Arabidopsis thaliana: one gene and its partner. The protein of the gene in region 1 interacts with the protein of each later gene in a pairwise test. Each region holds a gene or a part of one and is shown in the gene's direction. Other genes may lie near its edges. The genes, in order: AHA10 and AT5G26250.

Region 1 (8,377 bases):
CAGGAATTGACCCTACAAGCTGGTTGTGGGACAAATCTATGACTGCTAAGCTCTTCAATTTGATTAGCCAAGCTGGTATTTCACCTCTCAGTCCAGATCCACCGCTAGCAAATATTTGGAGATTAGGGAATCCATCTGAGGAAATCAAGTCTTTGTCGCTTGGAAATGTTTCGTTGTAAAAATTCTTTCCTATGAGGAGAGTGGACAGATTCCTGCAGCCCTGCAGAATTCCAAGAGCGCCTGTAATGTTCATCAGTTTATTGTCTGAAAGAGACAAGATCGATAGAGATTCAAGTTCCAGTACGTGAGGAGATATCTGTCCTGTTAACTTATTGCTTGCAAATCTCATCGCTGATAGAGATTTGCAGGAGTGAACCCTCCAAGGGAAATCACCGCTGAAGCTATTGTTTCCGAGATCTAGAATGCTAAGGCTCTGAAAGCGGGAAAAGTCAAGCTCTGATAAGGTTCCTTCCAGCCGATTAAGCCTCAGATTCAACTTGACGAGATTAGTACAATTTGCAAGAGAAGGCGGGACTGTACCAGTGATGTTATTGATATGGAGTTGGAGGCTTTGCAGGCGAGAGAGCTGACCTATGTCCATTGGTATTTCTCCTCCAAGGTGATTGGAGTACAGCTCGAGCGATTTTAGTTTTGTGAGGTGGGTGATGTCATCATTGATCTTTCCAGAAAGATGATTGACGGGTAGAAAGAGTTGCTCGAGCTCCGAAAGATTGTATATGTCACTTGGGATTTCACCAGAGATATTGTTGAAGCCTGCTTGTAGAACACTTAGCTTCAAACATCTCCCTAGTCCTTGCGGAATATTACCGGTAAAATCATTGTAGGAGAAATCCAGTTTGCTGAGCTGCGGTGAACTCTTGCACATAAACGAAGGGATTGAGCCTGTGAAGCTGTTCTTGCTGACATTGAAACTGATTAAATCGAAAGTTCCTTGCATAAAAATAGAACTAGGGAGGATTTCGCCTTGGAGAAAATTGCTTGACAGATCAACTATCCGAATTGGGAAACATCTGTTGCTTCCATTTCTAAATGTTTGTTCAACTGGCAACTCACCATCGAGGCTGTTGTAACTAAGATCAAGAACTTTGAGCTGATCAAGGGCTGAGAGAAAGCCAGATGGGAGATGACCGGAGAGACGGTTATGAGAAAGATTGAGTTGAGAGAGATGGTGGAGACGCAGAACAGACAAAGGGAGTTTACCATATAGTGCTCTAAAGGGCAATGAGATTGCAGTGATGTGGCTATCCGGGGAATCATCGCAGGTTATTCCTTCCCATGAGCAACAATCAATGGATGGGTTCCAATTCAGAGGAGAAACAGAAGAAGAAACGTTTCCAGAGAACCACAGTAGGGATTCTCGATCTTGCGAGTTGCAGAGAGCCTCTGAAACTGCAATAGAAAGGACACTGATGAAAAGAACACACTGAAGGAGTATGCCAATCATGTGAAAACTCAGAGCTTGTATTGGTCTTGTGGTTGATGAAGTTCTCACAAAACCTTTGGCTTTGAATCTCCCCTCATTAGTCATGGTGAGAACAAGAACAAGACGAGAAACAGACAAAGAAGATGAAAAAACTTGTTGGCCAGTGTTGACTAAGGGGGAATAGCCCAGACATAACAAAATTAGACTTGTCGTACATCTTTAATATTTTTTTTATCTGTTTCTTTGTCCTGACGCTTTCATTATTCCTGTGATCAATTTTCTCATACCATTGGTCCATCGTTAATCCTTTCTCAATTTCATTTTCTACGTAACATGAGAGGAGACCAAGTCCTATGAGAACAGTTGACGTAACAGTGGTTGTTAAGTTAAGTTAAAAAGAGGAAGCTAGTGAGAGTGACCGTTAGGTAGAGAAGTGAGATCTTTAACCACTCTTCTTTCTCTCTCTCTCTGCTTTTTTCGTCGTCTTTCACATCTACTGTTCGCAAACTCTCTTATGCTTCCAATAATGGTGATACCAATTGAGACTTGCAGGAGAATCTCCTCTTCTCCACACTCTATCAACTGGTCAGCCATGGAATGGTCGTTTCAGTTTCAATATTCCTGGATTCTTTTTAAGGATTCCTGTTTCTCTTCTGTTCCTGGTATATTCTTAACGACGAAATTAGTATCGGATCCTGGTAATACATTTTGAAGCTTTTAAGTATGGCCGAGGATTTGGACAAGCCATTGCTGGATCCTGATACTTTCAACAGAAAAGGAATTGATTTGGTAAATGTTCCTTTTAACTGTATACTCTTATTAGTACTTGAATTCTTAGTGGCAAAAAAGGGTTTTGACCCTTCTTGAGCTTGACAGGGTATATTGCCGTTGGAGGAGGTTTTTGAATACCTAAGAACATCGCCTCAAGGGCTTTTATCTGGAGATGCTGAAGAGAGATTGAAGATATTTGGTCCTAACAGACTTGAAGAGAAACAGGTAATAAACATGACATTCTTCTTAGTGTTCCTGCCAATTGTCTCTATTATCTTGTGCTAACCGCCATTTAAAACAACAATGATACAGGAGAACAGATTTGTGAAATTCTTAGGTTTTATGTGGAATCCCTTGTCATGGGTTATGGAAGCTGCTGCATTGATGGCCATTGCCCTCGCTAATAGTCAAGTAAGACAACCACAGTTTTGCTACCATTTTCCATCCATGAGTGTTTATGAAAAAGCACCTTGAAACTCATGGTGAAAATGGTATTACAGAGTCTAGGTCCTGACTGGGAAGACTTTACTGGAATCGTTTGCCTTTTGCTGATCAACGCAACAATCAGCTTCTTTGAAGAAAACAATGCTGGGAATGCTGCTGCAGCTCTTATGGCTCGCTTGGCTTTAAAAACAAGAGTATGGCTCTTAACCTTCCTATGAGCCGAAACGGCAAAGTTAGCTGCACTTTAATTTCTATATTACCTTAAATTTGATTTAGATCCACTCTTATAGGTTCTTAGAGATGGACAGTGGCAAGAACAAGATGCTTCTATCTTGGTACCTGGTGATATAATTAGCATTAAGCTTGGGGATATCATTCCTGCAGATGCTCGCCTTCTTGAAGGAGACCCCTTGAAGATTGATCAGGTACGTCCAGAATATCTAGTCTCTATTCTTTTAGTGTGTACTATGTAAAGACTTTCTCTGACAGAATAGTTAAAACATTTATTCCTGCAGTCAGTGCTGACCGGAGAATCACTACCTGTGACCAAGAAGAAGGGTGAACAGGTCTTTTCTGGCTCTACTTGTAAACAAGGTGAAATAGAAGCTGTTGTGATAGCAACTGGATCGACCACCTTCTTTGGAAAAACAGCACGCTTGGTGGACAGTACAGATGTAACTGGACATTTTCAGCAGGTTTTCCTTCTTTCTTTCCCTTTTGGTTGGATAGAACCTGATTAGTGAACTTGGAATCTGGAAAAACCGAATGTAGTCTTTGACATGTTTTCTTCTAGGTTCTTACATCGATTGGAAACTTCTGCATTTGCTCCATTGCTGTTGGAATGGTTCTTGAAATCATTATCATGTTCCCTGTACAACATCGCTCTTACAGAATTGGGATCAATAATCTTCTTGTACTACTGATTGGAGGGATACCCATTGCCATGCCCACTGTACTATCTGTAACGCTTGCCATTGGATCTCATCGACTTTCACAACAGGTACATCCCACTTTAAGCTGCTGAATGCAAAAGGAAGTCCTTTGTTTGTTATTCTTTAAAACAGTTTGTTAGCAATAATCTGTTTCTTCATGTTCTCTAAGGGTGCCATTACGAAAAGAATGACCGCAATAGAGGAAATGGCTGGGATGGATGTACTCTGCTGTGATAAAACTGGAACCCTTACTTTGAACAGTCTTACCGTTGATAAAAATCTTATTGAGGTACCAATACTACAGATGCGACTTGAATTTCATCAAACAATACTGTTAAGAACAGTTGCCTCCTTCTTCATCGTCTTGTTCTCTATTGTTGGTGTTTAAATGTACAAATCCTTCTGCACAGGTATTCGTTGACTACATGGACAAGGATACAATTTTGTTGCTTGCAGGCCGAGCTTCACGACTAGAAAATCAGGATGCTATAGATGCAGCCATTGTTAGCATGCTTGCAGATCCCAGAGAGGTAGAGATGTTTCTCTAACATGAACTCTCTTTTATAAGACTATCACCTTCTTAGAAGTTTTTCTCATACAAAGGTTGTTTATCTGTAGGCACGTGCAAACATTAGAGAAATCCATTTCTTACCATTCAATCCTGTGGACAAACGTACTGCAATAACGTATATTGATTCCGATGGAAAATGGTATCGTGCTACCAAAGGTGCTCCTGAACAGGTATGTATTCTTAGCACTACCAAACTGACTCTAGTTGTAAAAATTTAGTGAATTTTTTTGTACTGTTTCCATGAAAGAAATACCATCACTAATACAACTGCACTATATTATAGGTTCTAAACTTGTGTCAGCAGAAAAATGAGATTGCGCAAAGAGTTTATGCCATCATTGATAGATTTGCAGAAAAAGGTTTGAGGTCTCTTGCGGTTGCTTATCAGGTAACATCATTGTCCTCTCCCTTTCTCTCTTGAGCTGGTTTTATCATAAGTGTACTTTTGAAGAAGAACGTTATGATGACATTAATTACTCCAATTCATTGCATCATTTAAATAATTGTTTCTAGGAAATTCCAGAGAAAAGCAACAACAGTCCTGGAGGACCATGGAGGTTCTGTGGTCTGTTGCCACTGTTTGATCCCCCAAGGCATGATAGCGGTGAAACCATCCTTAGAGCTCTTAGCCTGGGAGTTTGCGTTAAGATGATCACTGGTAAATCTTAACCTTTAGCTTGGTAGGCTTGGCCCGACAGAGAAACACATATACCCTTGTGAGTAAACGGTAAAACTCTGGGAAAATGAATGATAAGTTTGGAACCACATGTAGGTGATCAATTGGCGATTGCAAAGGAGACAGGCAGACGTCTTGGAATGGGAACCAACATGTATCCTTCTTCCTCTTTGTTAGGCCACAACAATGATGAGCATGAAGCCATTCCAGTGGATGAGCTAATTGAAATGGCAGATGGATTTGCTGGAGTTTTCCCTGGTCATATTCTAACACAACCTTAGTACCTACGAAATTTAAGATTTGCTCTCATTTCTAATCCCAAATTTTTTTTGTCTCTCATGTTACAGAACATAAGTATGAGATTGTAAAGATTTTACAAGAAATGAAGCATGTGGTTGGAATGACCGGAGATGGTGTGAATGATGCTCCTGCTCTCAAAAAAGCTGACATCGGAATAGCTGTCGCAGATGCAACAGATGCTGCAAGAAGTTCTGCTGACATAGTACTAACTGATCCCGGCTTAAGTGTAATTATCAGTGCTGTCTTGACCAGCAGAGCCATTTTCCAGCGGATGAGGAACTATACAGTAAGTACTAAAGTTATAGTTATACTACTATCATCTGATCCCTGATAGCTAAAGAAATGAAAAATCATATAATATAGGATATGGATTTCAAGTAGCCTGATGACATTCTCAACTAGCTTATGTTTTTCTCTGAATTACCGACTAATCAGTACGAATCTGCAGGTATATGCAGTCTCTATCACCATACGCATAGTGGTAAGGAGCTTCATGATACATGATCTAACTCATGTTAGTTAAGTTACATCAACTTACTTGAACTTTCTCTTCTTGACATTGTTTCATGCAGCTTGGTTTTACACTTTTAGCGTTGATATGGGAATACGACTTCCCACCTTTCATGGTTCTGATAATCGCAATACTCAATGACGGTAATCTCTTAATCAATAGCTTCATATTGATGTAACCTAATTTTTATCACTTTCAAACGCTATGTTTATCTCCTACGCATCAGGGACTATCATGACTATTTCTAAAGATCGAGTTAGGCCATCTCCTACACCCGAGAGTTGGAAGCTCAACCAGATATTTGCGACAGGAATTGTCATTGGAACATATCTAGCATTGGTCACCGTCCTGTTTTACTGGATCATTGTTTCTACCACCTTCTTCGAGGTATCTTCCTATCACTCAAAGTAAGTTAGATTTTGCTTACCGAGAAGAATGCATACCGGTGACCAATCTTTAATGGCTGCAGAAACACTTCCATGTAAAATCAATTGCCAACAACAGTGAACAAGTGTCATCCGCGATGTATCTCCAAGTGAGCATCATCAGTCAGGCACTCATATTTGTAACACGTAGTCGAGGCTGGTCATTTTTTGAACGTCCCGGGACTCTCCTGATTTTTGCCTTCATTCTTGCTCAACTTGTACGAATTCCCCATACTTCGCATTTTTTCCATCACAGAATGCTATATAGCACACATAGGTCGTGATATTGACTTGTCCATTTCATGTACACAGGCGGCTACATTAATTGCTGTGTATGCCAACATCAGCTTTGCTAAAATCACCGGCATTGGATGGAGATGGGCAGGTGTTATATGGTTATACAGTCTGATATTTTACATACCTCTAGATGTTATAAAGTTTGTCTTTCACTACGCATTGAGTGGAGAAGCTTGGAATCTCGTATTGGACCGTAAGGTTGGTACATGTCCTGTGTCTCTTGTCCTCTGCTTGTTAGTCAGTCTCACACTTAAACTATGCATTTTCTTGAAGATGAGACCGTTGGTTTGTCTTGCAGACAGCTTTTACTTACAAGAAAGATTATGGGAAAGATGATGGATCGCCCAATGTAACCATCTCTCAGAGAAGTCGTTCCGCAGAAGAACTCAGAGGAAGCCGTTCTCGCGCTTCTTGGATCGCTGAACAAACCAGGAGGCGTGCAGAAATCGCCAGGTTCTCTTTTTATCTATACCCCGTTTTGGGTATTCTCTTCCATTTTCACATACTACCAAAATAACTATATTGTTTTTCATTTGGTAGGCTTCTAGAGGTTCATTCAGTGTCAAGGCATTTAGAATCTGTGATCAAACTCAAACAAATTGACCAAAGGATGATCCGTGCAGCTCATACTGTCTAAAACACTCTCTTAGTTTTTCCCTATCTCAAAATTTACATAAAGAGGAATCGAACAATGTTGTGTTCCTCAGAGAAGTAAAAACAATATTTAGAGCATTCATATGATCTGTAGTCTGTAATGTAGTCTTGTTTTCCGGTGACAGCAGAAATTTCACCTGATATGCTCTGCTGAGATCAATTGTAGGCCATATATGTCGGTGTTTCACTGAACCTGTGATCATTGTTCATCACTTTGGTTAAATTGAAAAATCACCACTTTTATTTCCTGTGTAATCGAATATTTACTCTCTTGTTTTCAATTATTACTAATTTAGTCCACATTCCGTGTTGAATAAATCTTGGTTTATAATTACTTGTTTCAAAAGCAATCAAGCTGTTCTTATAGAACACAAAATTCTCAAGCAAATAAACTATATTTCACCGACAAAATTCACAAAACCGTCGGAAAAGAATCAAACGAATTTGACATTAAACCACCTACTATAATACAGGTAAAGAAGAAGAACCATGGAAACAGAGGAAAATTAACGAATGTGTTTACTTGTTTATTCATTTTCAGCTATGAAGTTTGGTTCTTCGCCTCGACAGAGATACTCATCGCACATAGATGAAGTTCCCCAGTCTTTTCTTAGCCGCAAGATATCCTCTGTAAAAGTAGAACCCGATGCTCCGATGAATACACTGGACATTGCACATATAGTCTTATCCAACATAGCATACACCTAACCATTCCAAAAACCAAAGCATAAGCAAGTGAATGTCTCGTCAAAGAATATCTACGAATTTTTCTCAGACCAAAGAATGTTACTAGATCATAGCCATTAGAATTGATTTCTGTTCAATACCACATTAGAGATACGGTTCAAGTAGAGAACAAGATCTTTGGCCCATAAACAAAGCAATAAGTGCGTTACCTGAGAGTCATCTTCTATACCATGTCTATACAACAACGAGTCCCACTTTTCTGCAGAGTTTTGAGGTGGACGTTTGACAAGGGGAACGACTTTTCCATCAACGACTACTAGTGACTGAAGAAGACCGGTTTCGCTTTCTGCAGCATCTGTTGAAAGGTAGATGACTGGAGCATTGGCCCTTTCCACCATCCGACTGATGCAGTCTGCAGCTTGTGGTATGGGATAAAAACAACTTGGCGATTTTGCATTGCTGGCCAGAAATCATTTCATTAGACAGAGCCAGCTATAAATGAGACACAGTTTGTCAAAATCCAATCCTAGTCCCTATATCAATCAGCACAGTATTCAATTGTTACACAGAAGTGCCTAAGTAAAGCAAATGACAAACTTCTGGATGGAGATATGTACTAATTAACAAACCAGGTGGAAAGGTGTTCTGGTATCCCAATCAATTGA
Region 2 (5,688 bases), on another chromosome or scaffold:
TAGTCGGGCCAATTCTTCGTCCATACAAGGATACAAGCTTGTTCCGCATGTTGCCACCCAAATCCGGTATGGAGGATATATGATCGTCTCTTGAGATGGGATTGTGTTGTTCGCTAACCGATCTCATTCTCCGTTCACAGAGAGTAGAAAGATTATATATGTAGAGGGCTTTTGATTGTTGTAATTGTGCAATCTTTGATTATTTTCTTGGTCACTGTAAAATAATCCAGCTTTTGATATATTTACTTGATTAACTTAAAAACCATATTGTAAACAAGAAAGAGAAAACCAGAATTTATCGGTCATACCGCCATGGAAAAATAAATCATATTTTAAAAAGTTGAAAATTTGGAAATAGATGAGATAATTTTATTATTACTAGATGAATACCCACGTTACGCGTGAGTTTGTTTCAAAAATTGTTAAAAAAAAATTATGTTGATTTTTCTTGTTGCTAATTTTTGCTTACTTTTTTCTTTGTTATTGTGTATTTAATCAAATTAATCTTAGGTAGTTACAGTTTTTATGATTAGATTCTTTTTTTACTTGAAATATCGATTTATACATTTTTATATATAAATATATAATTATTTATATTTCTAAGATTCTAATATTTTTTTCACCATCATGAATACATACATCAACAAGATAGGATATTTTTATACAATTAGATGTAGTTATGTTATTTGTGTGATGTGAAACTCGCGTAACTTGATTATAAATATAATTTCTTGTTTTGTGTACTCTCTTGATCTAATACTTCAATTACATCGTGATAAACTCATTATTATATACTAGATAAACATAAATTGAACAAGATCTCAAGAATTTTTATATGAAAATAAGAAAAGGAAAGCAAAAACTAAAATGTCATTTAATTCAACACTTTTATATATTTTACTATTGCATATAGCTATATATGAGAAAAGTCGTGTCTTAAATTCTTTTGTATGCCTAACATCTCAAAGGCTCATCACTTGAAAAAATTTGCATGTCAATATTACCAACTTATCGGACACAAAAATAAAAAGAGAGAACGTTATATATTGAGTCAGATATGAACAACAAAACATAATAATGAGAAGTTCACAAAAAAAAATAATGAGAAAGACTCAAAGTAAAATTACTAAATTAATAAGAGTTTAGGTAGCAAACAACTAAATTACAAAAATAATAAAATGGTGAATATTGATAAAATCTTTTTAGTAAAATAAGAAGAATATAAAGAAAGTAGTGCTTTTTATTAACATAATTTTGTATTGTTTTTTTAAATTTTGAATAAATCACTTAAGAGTAGAATTGATGGAGGATTTAATGCTATAAAGAACTTTTATTTTTTTCATTTAATTTGGCTAATTTTTAATTTAAATAATCTAAAATAACACATGTCATTTTTTTTGTGATGATGTGCCAGTCATATGCAAAAAATTGACCAACTTTCGTATATATGATTTAGCTCTTTGTTTTTTTTAATGTTAATCATATACACTAAATTTTTTAATAAAACTTTTGGTTTTCGAAATAATTTTTTTGGTTTAAATCATAACTTTTAAAAACTTTGGTTTTTGAGAGAACTAAAATTACGAAGCTTTTTTCTTTTTTTCTATTGCTACAACTTCTCTAAACTTTTGTAATGAAAGAGGTAAACATAATAATTGAATATTCTCCTAATCTTTAGAAAATCAAATTGAGAAACTAAATTTGCATCTTTGTTCAACATCACAGTAGTCATGACTCATGAGTCATGATGACTCATCATACTAGAGTCTAGCAAATATATTCAATATTCATATGAAATTATACTATAATTAACTTTGACCATACAAGATTTTATCATTTATATTATGCAACAAAAAAGGAAAATATCTGTTTTATTCCAAAAAGAGAAGGAAAATATCTTTGATGGAAATAAAAAGGAAATGGGGATAGGTTTTGTTCTTGTTATATGTTTTGGATATAACCAAATCCAGACGTAATAAAGCCATCCATCGATGTTAATAACAATATATAAAAAAACTTACATGTAACAGCTACGAATTAAAAACCACTAAGTGAATAACTGACATTACGACAGCAAAATATTGAATGTAAGAACCCCAAAAGAGGATCAAAAACAATATTACTGATCCAAAATCTATTGACCAACCAATCATAATTTCATAACAAAATATTCCATATTTAGACAACCTCTTTATCTTCTTTTTGGTTTCTCTATCTTTCTGATCTGTATAAATATATGAACCTATCATTGTCTCATTTTTGTGTAAAGATTTGTGTCTGCTTCTTCTCTCGCTCTTCTTTACAAGACAGAGAAACACAGACACAAACAAAGATTTCTTAGAGAGCATAGACGTTAAAAAATGGCTGTGGTTATATCTTCTAATGGTAATTCCAAGTCTTTCGACGCGAAGATGACTGTTTATGTCTTCATCTGTGTCATTATCGCGGCTGTAGGCGGTTTGATCTTCGGTTACGACATCGGAATCTCGGGTTCGATTCTCTTCTCTAACGTTATTTTGTATCTTTTTCGCATTACTTATGGATTAAGAAACAGAATCTAGCCCTTTCTTTCTGATCAAGAAATGTTAAAAAGTACATATACTTAACCAAAATTTCATTATGAAAAATAGGTGGAGTAACGGCGATGGACGATTTCTTGAAGGAATTTTTCCCATCTGTGTACGAAAGGAAGAAGCATGCGCATGAGAACAACTATTGCAAGTATGACAACCAGTTCTTGCAGCTCTTCACTTCCTCTCTATACCTAGCGGCTCTAGTGGCTAGCTTCTTTGCTTCGGCTACATGCTCTAAGCTCGGACGCAGACCCACAATGCAACTCGCTTCCATCTTCTTCTTGATCGGTGTTGGCCTTGCCGCGGGAGCTGTTAACATATACATGTTGATCATTGGTAGAATCTTGCTTGGATTCGGTGTTGGCTTTGGTAATCAGGTATAATGTTATATGATCTTTTTTTATTTCAAGTTTAGTTTGTGTTTAGGCTGAGATGCTACAAGATATGAATTTTCACTGAATTTTTGGTCTGGTTTAGTTTATATGCATTTTAGTTTGTATGAGATCTTGAATTTTCTGGTGTTCTTCAATGACTAAACATTGTAGAATGTGTCTGATTTTCTTGTAGGCGGTACCGCTTTTCTTATCAGAGATTGCTCCCGCGAGGCTTCGTGGAGGTCTCAACATTGTTTTCCAACTTATGGTTACAATTGGAATCCTAATTGCTAACATAGTCAACTACTTCACCTCCTCAATTCATCCTTACGGATGGAGAATTGCCCTCGGTGGCGCGGGAATTCCGGCTCTCATCCTCCTCTTTGGATCGCTTCTCATCTGCGAAACACCCACTAGTCTCATCGAACGGAACAAAACCAAGGAAGGAAAAGAAACACTCAAGAAGATCAGAGGCGTTGAAGATGTTGATGAGGAGTATGAATCAATAGTCCATGCTTGCGATATCGCAAGGCAGGTCAAGGACCCTTACACGAAACTGATGAAACCCGCGAGCAGGCCGCCTTTCGTGATTGGAATGTTGCTACAGTTTTTCCAACAGTTCACTGGAATCAACGCGATTATGTTCTACGCTCCGGTTTTGTTCCAGACTGTAGGGTTTGGAAATGACGCAGCTCTGCTTTCCGCGGTTGTCACGGGAACGATCAACGTTCTCAGCACGTTTGTCGGGATTTTCCTTGTCGACAAAACTGGCCGAAGATTTCTATTGCTCCAATCTTCCGTTCACATGCTCATATGCCAGGTAACATTAGTTAAGTTAACTTTTCTTGTGTCACAAGCGATCCTCCTAAACTAACAATTTTCTCAAACAGTTGGTCATTGGAATCATCCTAGCCAAGGACCTAGACGTGACGGGTACGCTAGCACGGCCACAAGCCCTAGTAGTGGTGATCTTCGTGTGTGTTTACGTGATGGGTTTCGCTTGGTCATGGGGCCCTCTAGGATGGCTAATCCCTAGTGAGACCTTCCCCTTGGAGACTCGAACGGAAGGGTTCGCATTGGCCGTGTCTTGCAACATGTTCTTCACGTTCGTGATCGCTCAGGCCTTCCTATCGATGCTTTGCGCGATGAAGTCAGGGATATTCTTCTTCTTCAGTGGTTGGATCGTTGTGATGGGACTTTTCGCTTTGTTCTTCGTGCCGGAAACGAAAGGAGTCTCCATTGATGACATGAGAGATAGTGTGTGGAAGCTACATTGGTACTGGAAGAGGTTTATGCTCGAGGAAGATGAGCATGACGTTGAGAAGAGAACTGATTGAGCTTGTTGATCGATCACATTCTTTCTCTAACTTTCCTTAGTTTTTTTTTTGTCATATGGGGAACAACATACAGTAATAAGAGACCAACTTGTTATTCTTGTATTATAATATGCTTTCTTCAGGTTTGGTATCTTACATAAAAAAAGAAAACTCCAGGGTCATACAATTTTTATGTGTTTTAAGTCACTTGATACAAGATAAATATTGTTCATAATAAAATAAAGTTGTTGTTTTACAGTGGGTAAAAGTGTCACATTATTATCAACGATTGATCCATGTACAATACTTTCTATGTTCCTTAATATTTGATTTAAAAAAAAAAAACACATGTTAAGAAAACATATTAAAAAATGATTCTAAATATTTTGTTTTTTGTGATTTATATTTGTTATAATTTTAAACCAATAATATTTAACTATTTATTTTGAAATTTGATATTCATCAATAATAACTAATTAATATTGCTTAGGAAACCTAAAAAATCAATCTGTTAAAAACATTTTTTTTTCTTTCAAAAAAATCAAATAATAAGAAACAGAAGGAGTAATTAACAAATTATCACCCGAAAATATTCGGTGCTCCATTTGTTTCTGATTTTAGTTGTGGATTTCGAATTGAAAATTTTATTTTATTTTATTATACAACATTTGCCATTTTATTTCCACAGAAAAATCTGAATACTGAGAGTGAGAGGTACATGGTCATGAACTCATGATCACATGGTTTTGGTAGCACATGGAACTGCATTTCAGTTCTACATGTAGTTGTAAACATCAGAATAACTACATGTATGGCTATATGCATGTAAAACCGCAGTTGTCCGTATTCACAAACGTACCAATTTTTAACCGCTAAAATAGTCGTTCAAAATGCTTTAAAACCGCAATCGCAGGCATCCATAAATTCTCGCAGTCGTGATCGCACGTCAGCTCCGTTTAAACATGTCAAGCCTTGAGTCGATCATTACAATAATATCTCGTGTACCACGTTATGCTTAAAAAAATTAATCATATCTTAAACACTTGCCTTGCCACCCACTACTTCTAGATCTCCCACAAATCCACAGAAATAATATATATGGTACTTAGAAAAATCATAAAAATATCAAATACCAAATTGAAGTCTCTGGCATGAGTCGGTCACTACAATAATAACTAAACTGAAATACATTTTATGGCTAATTGATGCAGAACCTGAAATTAAAAAAAATTAAAGATACAACAAACCATACCTTTTTGTCTTTTTTTTTTTTTAATTATTTTAAAGATAACTCATTTATTTTGAATGTATGTACGCAGTTTTCGGTTCCGTATTGTGTATTCATAGTCTACCATAAAATTTAACATCTACCTTTCCCAATGGACCCAAACGCTTCGAATTGAACATGGGCGTTGCTTTCTCTTG

Evidence for each region.
Region 2: the proteins of AHA10 (region 1) and AT5G26250 interact in a protein complementation assay, tested with the Arabidopsis thaliana proteins (one large-scale study listed by BioGRID).

What each region holds. Positions count from the first base shown.
Region 1 is NC_003070.9:5,901,891-5,910,267, forward strand, and holds AHA10 (autoinhibited H[+]-ATPase), read left to right. Parts: upstream 1-2,167; coding exon 2,168-2,233; intron 2,234-2,320; coding exon 2,321-2,440; intron 2,441-2,527; coding exon 2,528-2,626; intron 2,627-2,715; coding exon 2,716-2,853; intron 2,854-2,949; coding exon 2,950-3,084; intron 3,085-3,174; coding exon 3,175-3,354; intron 3,355-3,452; coding exon 3,453-3,659; intron 3,660-3,760; coding exon 3,761-3,880; intron 3,881-4,001; coding exon 4,002-4,121; intron 4,122-4,209; coding exon 4,210-4,332; intron 4,333-4,445; coding exon 4,446-4,550; intron 4,551-4,675; coding exon 4,676-4,820; intron 4,821-4,934; coding exon 4,935-5,096; intron 5,097-5,185; coding exon 5,186-5,424; intron 5,425-5,586; coding exon 5,587-5,619; intron 5,620-5,710; coding exon 5,711-5,792; intron 5,793-5,875; coding exon 5,876-6,036; intron 6,037-6,118; coding exon 6,119-6,292; intron 6,293-6,386; coding exon 6,387-6,569; intron 6,570-6,669; coding exon 6,670-6,824; and 3 more. Other genes in the region: RLP3 (receptor like protein 3), read right to left, coding at 1-1,549; AT1G17270 (O-fucosyltransferase family protein), read right to left, coding at 7,553-7,729, 7,922-8,171. UniProt on the Arabidopsis thaliana protein: The plasma membrane H(+) ATPase of plants and fungi generates a proton gradient that drives the active transport of nutrients by H(+)-symport. The resulting external acidification and/or internal alkinization may mediate growth responses.
Region 2 is NC_003076.8:9,194,398-9,200,085, forward strand, and holds AT5G26250 (Major facilitator superfamily protein), read left to right. Parts: upstream 1-2,360; coding exon 2,361-2,490; intron 2,491-2,630; coding exon 2,631-2,950; intron 2,951-3,140; coding exon 3,141-3,767; intron 3,768-3,837; coding exon 3,838-4,284; 3' UTR 4,285-4,404; downstream 4,405-5,688. UniProt on the Arabidopsis thaliana protein: Mediates an active uptake of hexoses, probably by sugar/hydrogen symport.